Macaca mulatta: one gene and its partner. The protein of the gene in region 2 purifies or fractionates together with the protein of the main gene of each other region. This does not show direct contact. Links are inferred from orthologs where the notes say so. Each region holds a gene or a part of one and is shown on either strand. Other genes may lie near its edges. The genes, in order: WAS and PSTPIP1.

What was found.
Region 1: the proteins of PSTPIP1 (region 2) and WAS purify together in Homo sapiens (affinity purification with western blotting; 3 studies listed by BioGRID and IntAct, with this or other methods). This does not show direct contact. The link is inferred for Macaca mulatta from reciprocal best matches to the Homo sapiens genes PSTPIP1 and WAS.

The regions. Positions count from the first base shown.
Region 1 is NC_133426.1:48,762,747-48,765,629, reverse strand, and holds part of WAS (actin nucleation-promoting factor WAS), read right to left. Parts: intron 2,622-2,883; coding exon 2,447-2,621; intron 1,354-2,446; coding exon 1,311-1,353; intron 1,108-1,310; coding exon 954-1,107; intron 748-953; coding exon 338-747; coding exon of another isoform or gene 328-337; intron 86-327; coding exon 1-85. UniProt on the Homo sapiens protein: Effector protein for Rho-type GTPases that regulates actin filament reorganization via its interaction with the Arp2/3 complex. Important for efficient actin polymerization. Possible regulator of lymphocyte and platelet function.
Region 2 is NC_133412.1:55,136,236-55,140,574, reverse strand, and holds the start of PSTPIP1 (proline-serine-threonine phosphatase-interacting protein 1), read right to left. Parts: upstream 2,942-4,339; coding exon 2,916-2,941; intron 2,650-2,915; exon of another isoform or gene 2,340-2,649; coding exon 2,138-2,339; intron 1-2,137. UniProt on the Homo sapiens protein: Involved in regulation of the actin cytoskeleton. May regulate WAS actin-bundling activity. Bridges the interaction between ABL1 and PTPN18 leading to ABL1 dephosphorylation.

The DNA of each region.
Region 1 (2,883 bases), on a different chromosome or scaffold from region 2:
GCATCACGTGCATCAGGGCCCCCACCAGTCCCTCTGAGCTCTGAGGTGGGGGCTGCAGCGCTGAGCTCTCTGGGGCCCCAGGGGTCTGCAGCAGGCAGGGGTCAGCACAGAGGGCTCAGGGCCTGGGAAAGGAGCATTTCTCCCCGCCCCTCCATCAATATTTTCCCTCCCACACACTCCAGTACCCTTCAAGGCTTCCCACCAACCTTTCCACCCTATCACTGAATCCCCAAGGCCTGGCACTCTCCTCCGTCCTGGCCTCAGCCCTCCAGTATCCTGACTTACATGGGTACCCCAGAGTTCCAGACCCCCAATCTTCCATCCTACCTGTCCTCACCTTGTTCAGCTGAATTCCCTGCCGGATTTGATCCAAAAGCGCTCCCCGACCCCCACCAGGGGCCAGGCCCCCGGCAGGCACCAGAGCAGGAGGGAGTAGGGGAGGGGCTGGTCCATTCCCGGAGCTGGGTGGCGGTGGCGGTGGTGGTGGTGGTGGTGGTGGCATGGGTGGCCCACCAGCTCCAGGGGGTGGTGGGGGTGGTGGTCCAGAACGTCCAGTAGCTGGAGGGGGTGGTGGTAGAGGGCCCCCTCGGCCTGGGGGTGGGGGTCCCCGGGGCGTTGGTGGGGGTGGGGCAACCCCCAAAGGTACAGGGGGCAGTGGACCAGAACGACCCTTGTTACCCCCCACAATAGGGGGCCGAGGGGGCTGGTTCCCTCCTCGAGATGGCGGTGGGGGCGGCGGAAGTGGCTCTGTGGAGGGAGTATAACACATAGCTGTAACTTTCATTGATTTCTTCTGAGCCTCAGTTTTGCTCATTTGTAAAATGGGTACCCCCACTGACCAACTCCTGACTGAAGCAGTATAGGTGCTCCCATAAGGACTGAGTGACTTAGTGAATCTCTTAGCTATGAGCTGCTAGGGCTGGAGAAGGGAACGTATGGAAGCAGGGGCTCACCCTGGCGCCTCATCTCCTGCCGCACAGCCTCCAGCCCACCCTGGTCCTCAATGAAGTCGTAGATAAGTTTAGAGGTCTCGGCATCGGTGAGCTGGGCCTCGCTGATTCCTGCCCTGGAGAACAGACTCCGTAGATCTGGGTCGAGGTTGTTCACCTGCCCAGGAGGAAAAAGGCCAGGGGCGGGAGTAGAGGAATAAGGTGAGGAGAGCAGCGACACGGATTGTCGTTGGGTTCATCCCAGCAAGGGATCTGAGAGGGGTGTGGGAAGGGCACGGTCTGGGCGTGGGGTCTCAGCAGTGGTCTTTGGAAGGGTGGGTGGAAGTTTAGTGGAGTCCGAGAGACTCTGAAGTTACTCACGTCAAATCCATTCTGGGGGTCCCACCCCACATGGGTGACATGCCTGGGAGAGGTGAAGAGACTCCAGTGAATCCCCACTGCCCTTCCTTCCCTCCTTTCGTAGTGAAGCCCTCTTGCCCTCTCCTGCCCAGAGAGACTCTGAGGGGCCAGAATTAATGAATGAGACTGAATGAATGAATGAGTATGGGCAGCAGTTATGGAATTAGAAGGGCTTCATAGTTTGTGGTGCTGATCCATTCACCCATCCCTCTTTCCCCATCTATTCACCCATGCATTTGTCCACCTATTCATTCACATTCATCTGTTGGATTACTGATCTGTCCATACATCTGTCTCTGCAACTGTCTGCCCACGTATGTCTGTTCACCCATTTGTCCACCAATCTGTCCTCACACACACTTGTCCATCCGCCCATCCACCTACCCATGTGCCCACCTTTCCATCTATCCATTCACACAATTTTCTACCCATGCAACCACACACTTCTGTTCACTTATCCATTGAACTGTCCATTCATCCACATATCTGTCCACCTGTACCATCCCCATCCACCTTGTCTGTGAGCCAATCAGCCTGCATATCAATCTGTCCACACACTCATCCACTCACCCATCCATCTACCATGCACCTCCCATCAACCCATCCACCCATCAACCTGTCCGTCCAACCACTTACCCATTCATTCTTCAACCCATTCATTCATCCATTTATTTATCCATCCATCCACCCATCCACTCACCCACCTACCCACCAGCCCCCCTCATCCATCATCTGCCTCATCTATCTATCCATTCATTCACCTGCCCACCCACCTGCTCCCCTAACAGCCCACCCAGAGTGGGCCCAGGCTGAGGCAAGTGAGGTGCCTAGGGTGCAAAATTTAAGTGAGTCACTCACTCTCAGAGTCAGGAATTACAGTTGCATGCCTCTGAGAGTGAGTGCCTCCTTAAATTTTGTACCCTTGGTGCCTTATTTACCTCTCCCTAGACCCAGCCCTGCACCTACCCATCCATCCACTCATTTACCCACTCAGCCACCCAGCCATCTGCCCTTCCTTCCATCGTCTCAGCTGTCCACTTGTTCATGTGCCCCTCTGCCCCCAGGAATCTGTGGGCCCACTGGGGACTGGTTCTCACTTGAATCCACTGGGTGCACCAATATCAGCTTTGCTGATCTTCTTCTTCCCTGAGCGTTTCTTATCAGCTGGGCTAGGTCCAGGTGCTGGGAGCCCACGGTATCGTGAACTCGTGATGTCAGGGTTCTGGATGTCCACTGTCGCCAGCCCCAGGGAGAGCGGACCCACTGGAGGGCCTGTGGGGAAAATAGGGTGGTTGGCCCATTGACCCATTTACCAACCAACCAAAGCACAGGGGCAAGAAACGGAAGCCTTGGGGGAAATCTGTGTGTGTGTTGGATGGCCATGGAGGTTGTGGGTGAAGGATTCAAGTAGGGTTTATGGAGAAGTGGGTGGATCCCGCAAACAATTCATACATTCACTGATTCATTTATTTTTTTCATTCCCTCATGCTTTATCATTCACTGGCTCATTGACTAATGGATTTGTTAAAATTTT
Region 2 (4,339 bases):
GTTCTAGCCACCTTGTCTGATCTTCTTACCCCTCTGGGAGATAAGAGGATTTCCTCTTACCCCGAAGCCAAAAGATCCAGTGATATGAAAGATAGAGGGATCCTGCGACAACACAGGTGCTGGAGCCAGCCTGCCAGGGTTTAATCCCAGCAGTGTGACCTTGCGCAAGTCTCTTAATGTCTCTGTGCCTCAATTTCCTCATCTGAATAAGAGAGAGAACAGTAGCATCTGTTTGAAGGATTGAATGAGTGAATATGCATTCATCTTGGGAACAGCGCCTGGCACATCTTTTGTGCTCAGCAAATGTTAGTTGTTATGCACTGGGATGGGCTGAGCATCAGGAAGAGGTATTAGAATCCAGAGCCCTGGGGCAGGTGATGCCTTGATGCGTACAGTGACCTTTCGGGGCGTCGGCCCAGACTCAGTGTGAAAGGTTCCCACTGGCTACTTCTCTCCCCTTCCTGCTCTGGCCTTCCCTAGGGAAACTATATGCCCACCCCAGACCCAGGAAGCCAGCCACAGAGGAGAGCAGGCACTTGGAGACCAGGAAGCCCAGAGGTGCGACGAGCTCAGAGTGTGGGCAGGATGCCGCTCAGGAAGCTCCACAGGCGCTGGCTGCTTGCTTCTGCTGCTGCTGCCACACCCTGATCCCTTATACGCCACCCCTACCTGTGCCCAGATCCTGCCATAGGGGCTGCTCCTTGCCCAGCTCTGCACTAGGCTCTGGGCCTGGACAGAGGTCTCGGTGATAAGATAGTCAAGGGGTCCTGGCCTGCCCTGGGCTAGAGTGGACTGGGTTTCCAGGCCCTACCCCTTCCCCCAACTTTGCACACCAAGGCAGGGCAGCAAGGTGGTGACTCACAACCCCCACCACCCAGGGCTCCAGCTGCCAGCCTGGGCCCTGAGCATCCTGGTGCCTGGTCCTCCGGATGGGCTGAGGCAGCTCTGCCTCCATTCGATTCTCTGGGCTGCGCCCACCCTGTCTTTGTAGAGATGGGGAAACTGAGGCCCAGAAAGGCACAGGGTGCCCTCCCCATGTGGGGTCCTTTGCCTACTGTGCAGTCAGTGCAGAGGAAGCAGAACATTCACACGCTGGCCACAGGCCCCAAGTGGAGCTGGCCGGAAGGGAAGGAAGGCCTGGCTCCGTGGCTCTCATCCTCCTGGCTGCAGCCCCAGGAAAGGGCCCAGGGAGGGCAGGGCAGTTGGCTGGGGCTCAGCCGGCTGAGCCGAGGGCCAGAGAGTCCTCTTCGGGGTTGGAGGCAGCACCCCAGGACAGCCATATTCCCCAGCTCCAACCAGAGAGGTCTCAGCTTTTCCCCAGAGCCCTGGGCACAGCTGGAGCTGAGGGGCAGAGGGGGAGTTGAAGGACAGCTGGAAAAATGCTGAGATGATCCGGGGGTCCAAGCTGGGCTGCAGGCCACGTGGCCCGGGCCAAGTCACTTTACCTCTACCACTGGCTGGGCGCCCTTATTTCATGGGGGAAATGACTTGATTTAAGCCTGTGTTGAATTTAAGAAAGTAAGCAAGCAATTGCCCGCCTGGCTGCCTCCTTGAAGGATCCCTAAGGTCTGCAAGGGACAAGGGGCTGGGTGAGGGAAAGAGAATTACCATTTGGAGTGAGGCAAGGGGCTGGGGTCTTTAGTGCACTGGATCCCCTTGCTGATCCAATGCTTTAGTTGGTGTGTTGATTTTTATTTATCCCCATTATATAGATGGAGAGACTGAGGTTCAGAGACAGAAATGACTTGCCCAGCCTATAAGTAACAGAGCCAAGACCTGAACCCAAGTTTGTCTGGTCTCTAAATCTGTGACCCCTCCTTTGCTGCCCCACACATCCTCCTCAAGCCCCCACCCATGTGTTACCCTCTGCTGAGGAGCTCCTGCTGTGGGGAGAGGTCTCCCAGAGGAGAATACAGCTGGGGCAGCAGAAAGGAGGACCCTCATTCATGGAGTCCACTTGCCTTCCAATCCAGAAGGGTGGGGGCCCGGGTCACCTCCATGACTATTAAGACCAAGAATCAACCACTATTTTATGAGAAAGCTCCCCTCTCAGAGCCGCACCCCATCACCTGCATGGAGATTTCAGCCTAGCTCTGCCCGCTCCACTTGTTCAGTGCCCCCAACCATCCTCACTCACCCAAAATGCATCTTTGAACTGCAGCTGGGGCATCATCCTCAGGCGTCTGCCGCGGCAAAGCTTGCTCTCCTGCCACAGGCTGGCCTGATGGAGGGCCAGGCGCCAGCAGCACCGTCCCAGTCCTGGCAGGGCTGGCCCAGGCCCCCCTTCCCGCCCGGCGCCGTCTGCAGCACTCAGAAGGCAGCCATGAGCCAGAGAGGAGCTGCCGAGGGGAGGAAAAGGCTCAACCTGTTTTGTTTGGGGCTAGAATCGGCAGCAAAATGAGGAAGGAGTGGAGCTCAGTGATGGGAGGGCGGGCCCTGGTGTCCAGCCCAGCCCCTCGCCGACCCTGCGGTGATGGAGGACACAGTCTGGGACCCAGAGCAGGGAACAGGGATGCCAGCCCTGTGTGGGAGGCAGTGGCCAGTGGAAGAGGCAGGCTGGAGTTCAGGCCAGGCAGGCAGGCAGCCCGAGGCCTGCGCAGGAAGGTTTGTGCAACCTCCCCCCGGGCGGGCGCGGGGCCCTCGCCCACAGGAAGTGGAGTTGCTGTGCTCCCCTGTGCAGCCCCGCCTGCCACCTGCCATCCTGCTCTTGCCTCTGCTTGCCCCTCCAGAGGCGCGGGCTCACTATTCCAGAGGTCATATGCTAAGGGAGCTTGAGGCCCACCGACAGTGTGGCCAGGAGGGGCCCAGGAACCCCAGGTGTGTCACTGGCCAGCCAGCCCAGCGCCCTTCCAGGCTGGGCCCAGAGATGCCAGGCTCTCTACCCCGCACAAGCAAACCATTCTTGAGGGGCTTACCCAGGCCTAGGGCATCTGTCATGCATCAAAACCCGGCTGCTCCGGGACCCGAACCAGGTCCTGCCCTCAAGGGTCCCACAGTCTGGGGGCAGACACAGCTGTGCTCTGGGGGGCTGTGAGCACACAGAGGTGAGGTGAGCAGGCAGCAAGATGAGGGAGAACAGCCTGAGGCCCCGGCACTGCCCCCCACCCCCCACCACCGCCACTGCCGCAAGTCTCCTGATTAGACACTGTTTGGGGCAGAAAACCCCCCTCTGAAGATGGAGACTTCCGGCTCAGTGAATGGGAATAGACGGAGAGAGAAACAGTATTATCAAGGTACAGAGTAGGGTGTTTGGAAACCCAGCCTGAGGCCCAGTTTTTTTTCATTTTGACCCTACCCTTCAAGGGCTGAGGGACCTTAATAGACTCTCCAACTCGCTGAGCCTCAGCTTCCTCATCTGCCACACCCAGTCTTTGGAAAGGAGACGGTGTCAAGAATATTTCTGGAATTTCCAGTTTGGTGTGCAGGTGCTGGGGGCACTGTGTGGTACCACCTGAGGAAGAGCCCTGGACTAGAACCCCTACCCCAGCCCTGAGGAGCCAGGCCCTGCCCCCTCAGCAGAAGATGCAGCAGGAAGTCCTGAGCCCAGGGCAGGCTGGCAAAATGGGATGAGTCAGGGATTGTCCACAGATCACCACCCTCACTGATGTCTGCCTTACAGCTGACGGGGTGGTAAGTAGATGAGAGTTGCTGCAGATGAAATAGCTGAGCTCCCAAGTGCCCATTATGCATGCCCAGGGTTTAGAGAGAGGTGCACACCCAGTCTCTGAAATAGCCACCCAAGAGGAAACACTCTGGGGAGAATTGCAGAGCAATGGGACTGCCCCCAGAAGGCCCTCACCTCCAGAAACCTTGGACTTGAGCTAACCTTTAATCTGTAAGGCACCCCAGTCAGGTTTTTTGTTACTTGCAGCTGAAGATAACTAACAGTGTAAAAATCCCCTTGAACTTTGTAGGCCATAGAGTGAGGCAGGCTGCACCTCCCCTCCCAATGGCACCACCACCTCTGATAGCACTGGCTCAGCCTCCCTGAGCTCAGTTTCTCCATCCATCAGATGGGATGATGCTTCTAGGTCTGGAGCAGTGTAGAGACCCTCTGTTAACAGAAGTCTCCTGCCCTCTTATTGGCAGAAAATTTCACAGCTGGGCTCCCTGCCCTGCCTCTCTAGGTGTCCTTCCCATCACCTCCCAGAGGCTTCCGCTCCGGCCAGGCCTCTTCCCTCTCCCCAGAGGCACCTTTCCCACTCCCACCTGCTCTGTTCCCAGCCTCCCCTCTGGCAAGCTTTCCTTGATCTTCCTTACCTTGGCAAATCCTCCCACCCCTCAAAGCCAACCTCAAGGCTCCCACACATGAGGCCTTCGTTTCCCAATTGCACTTGTC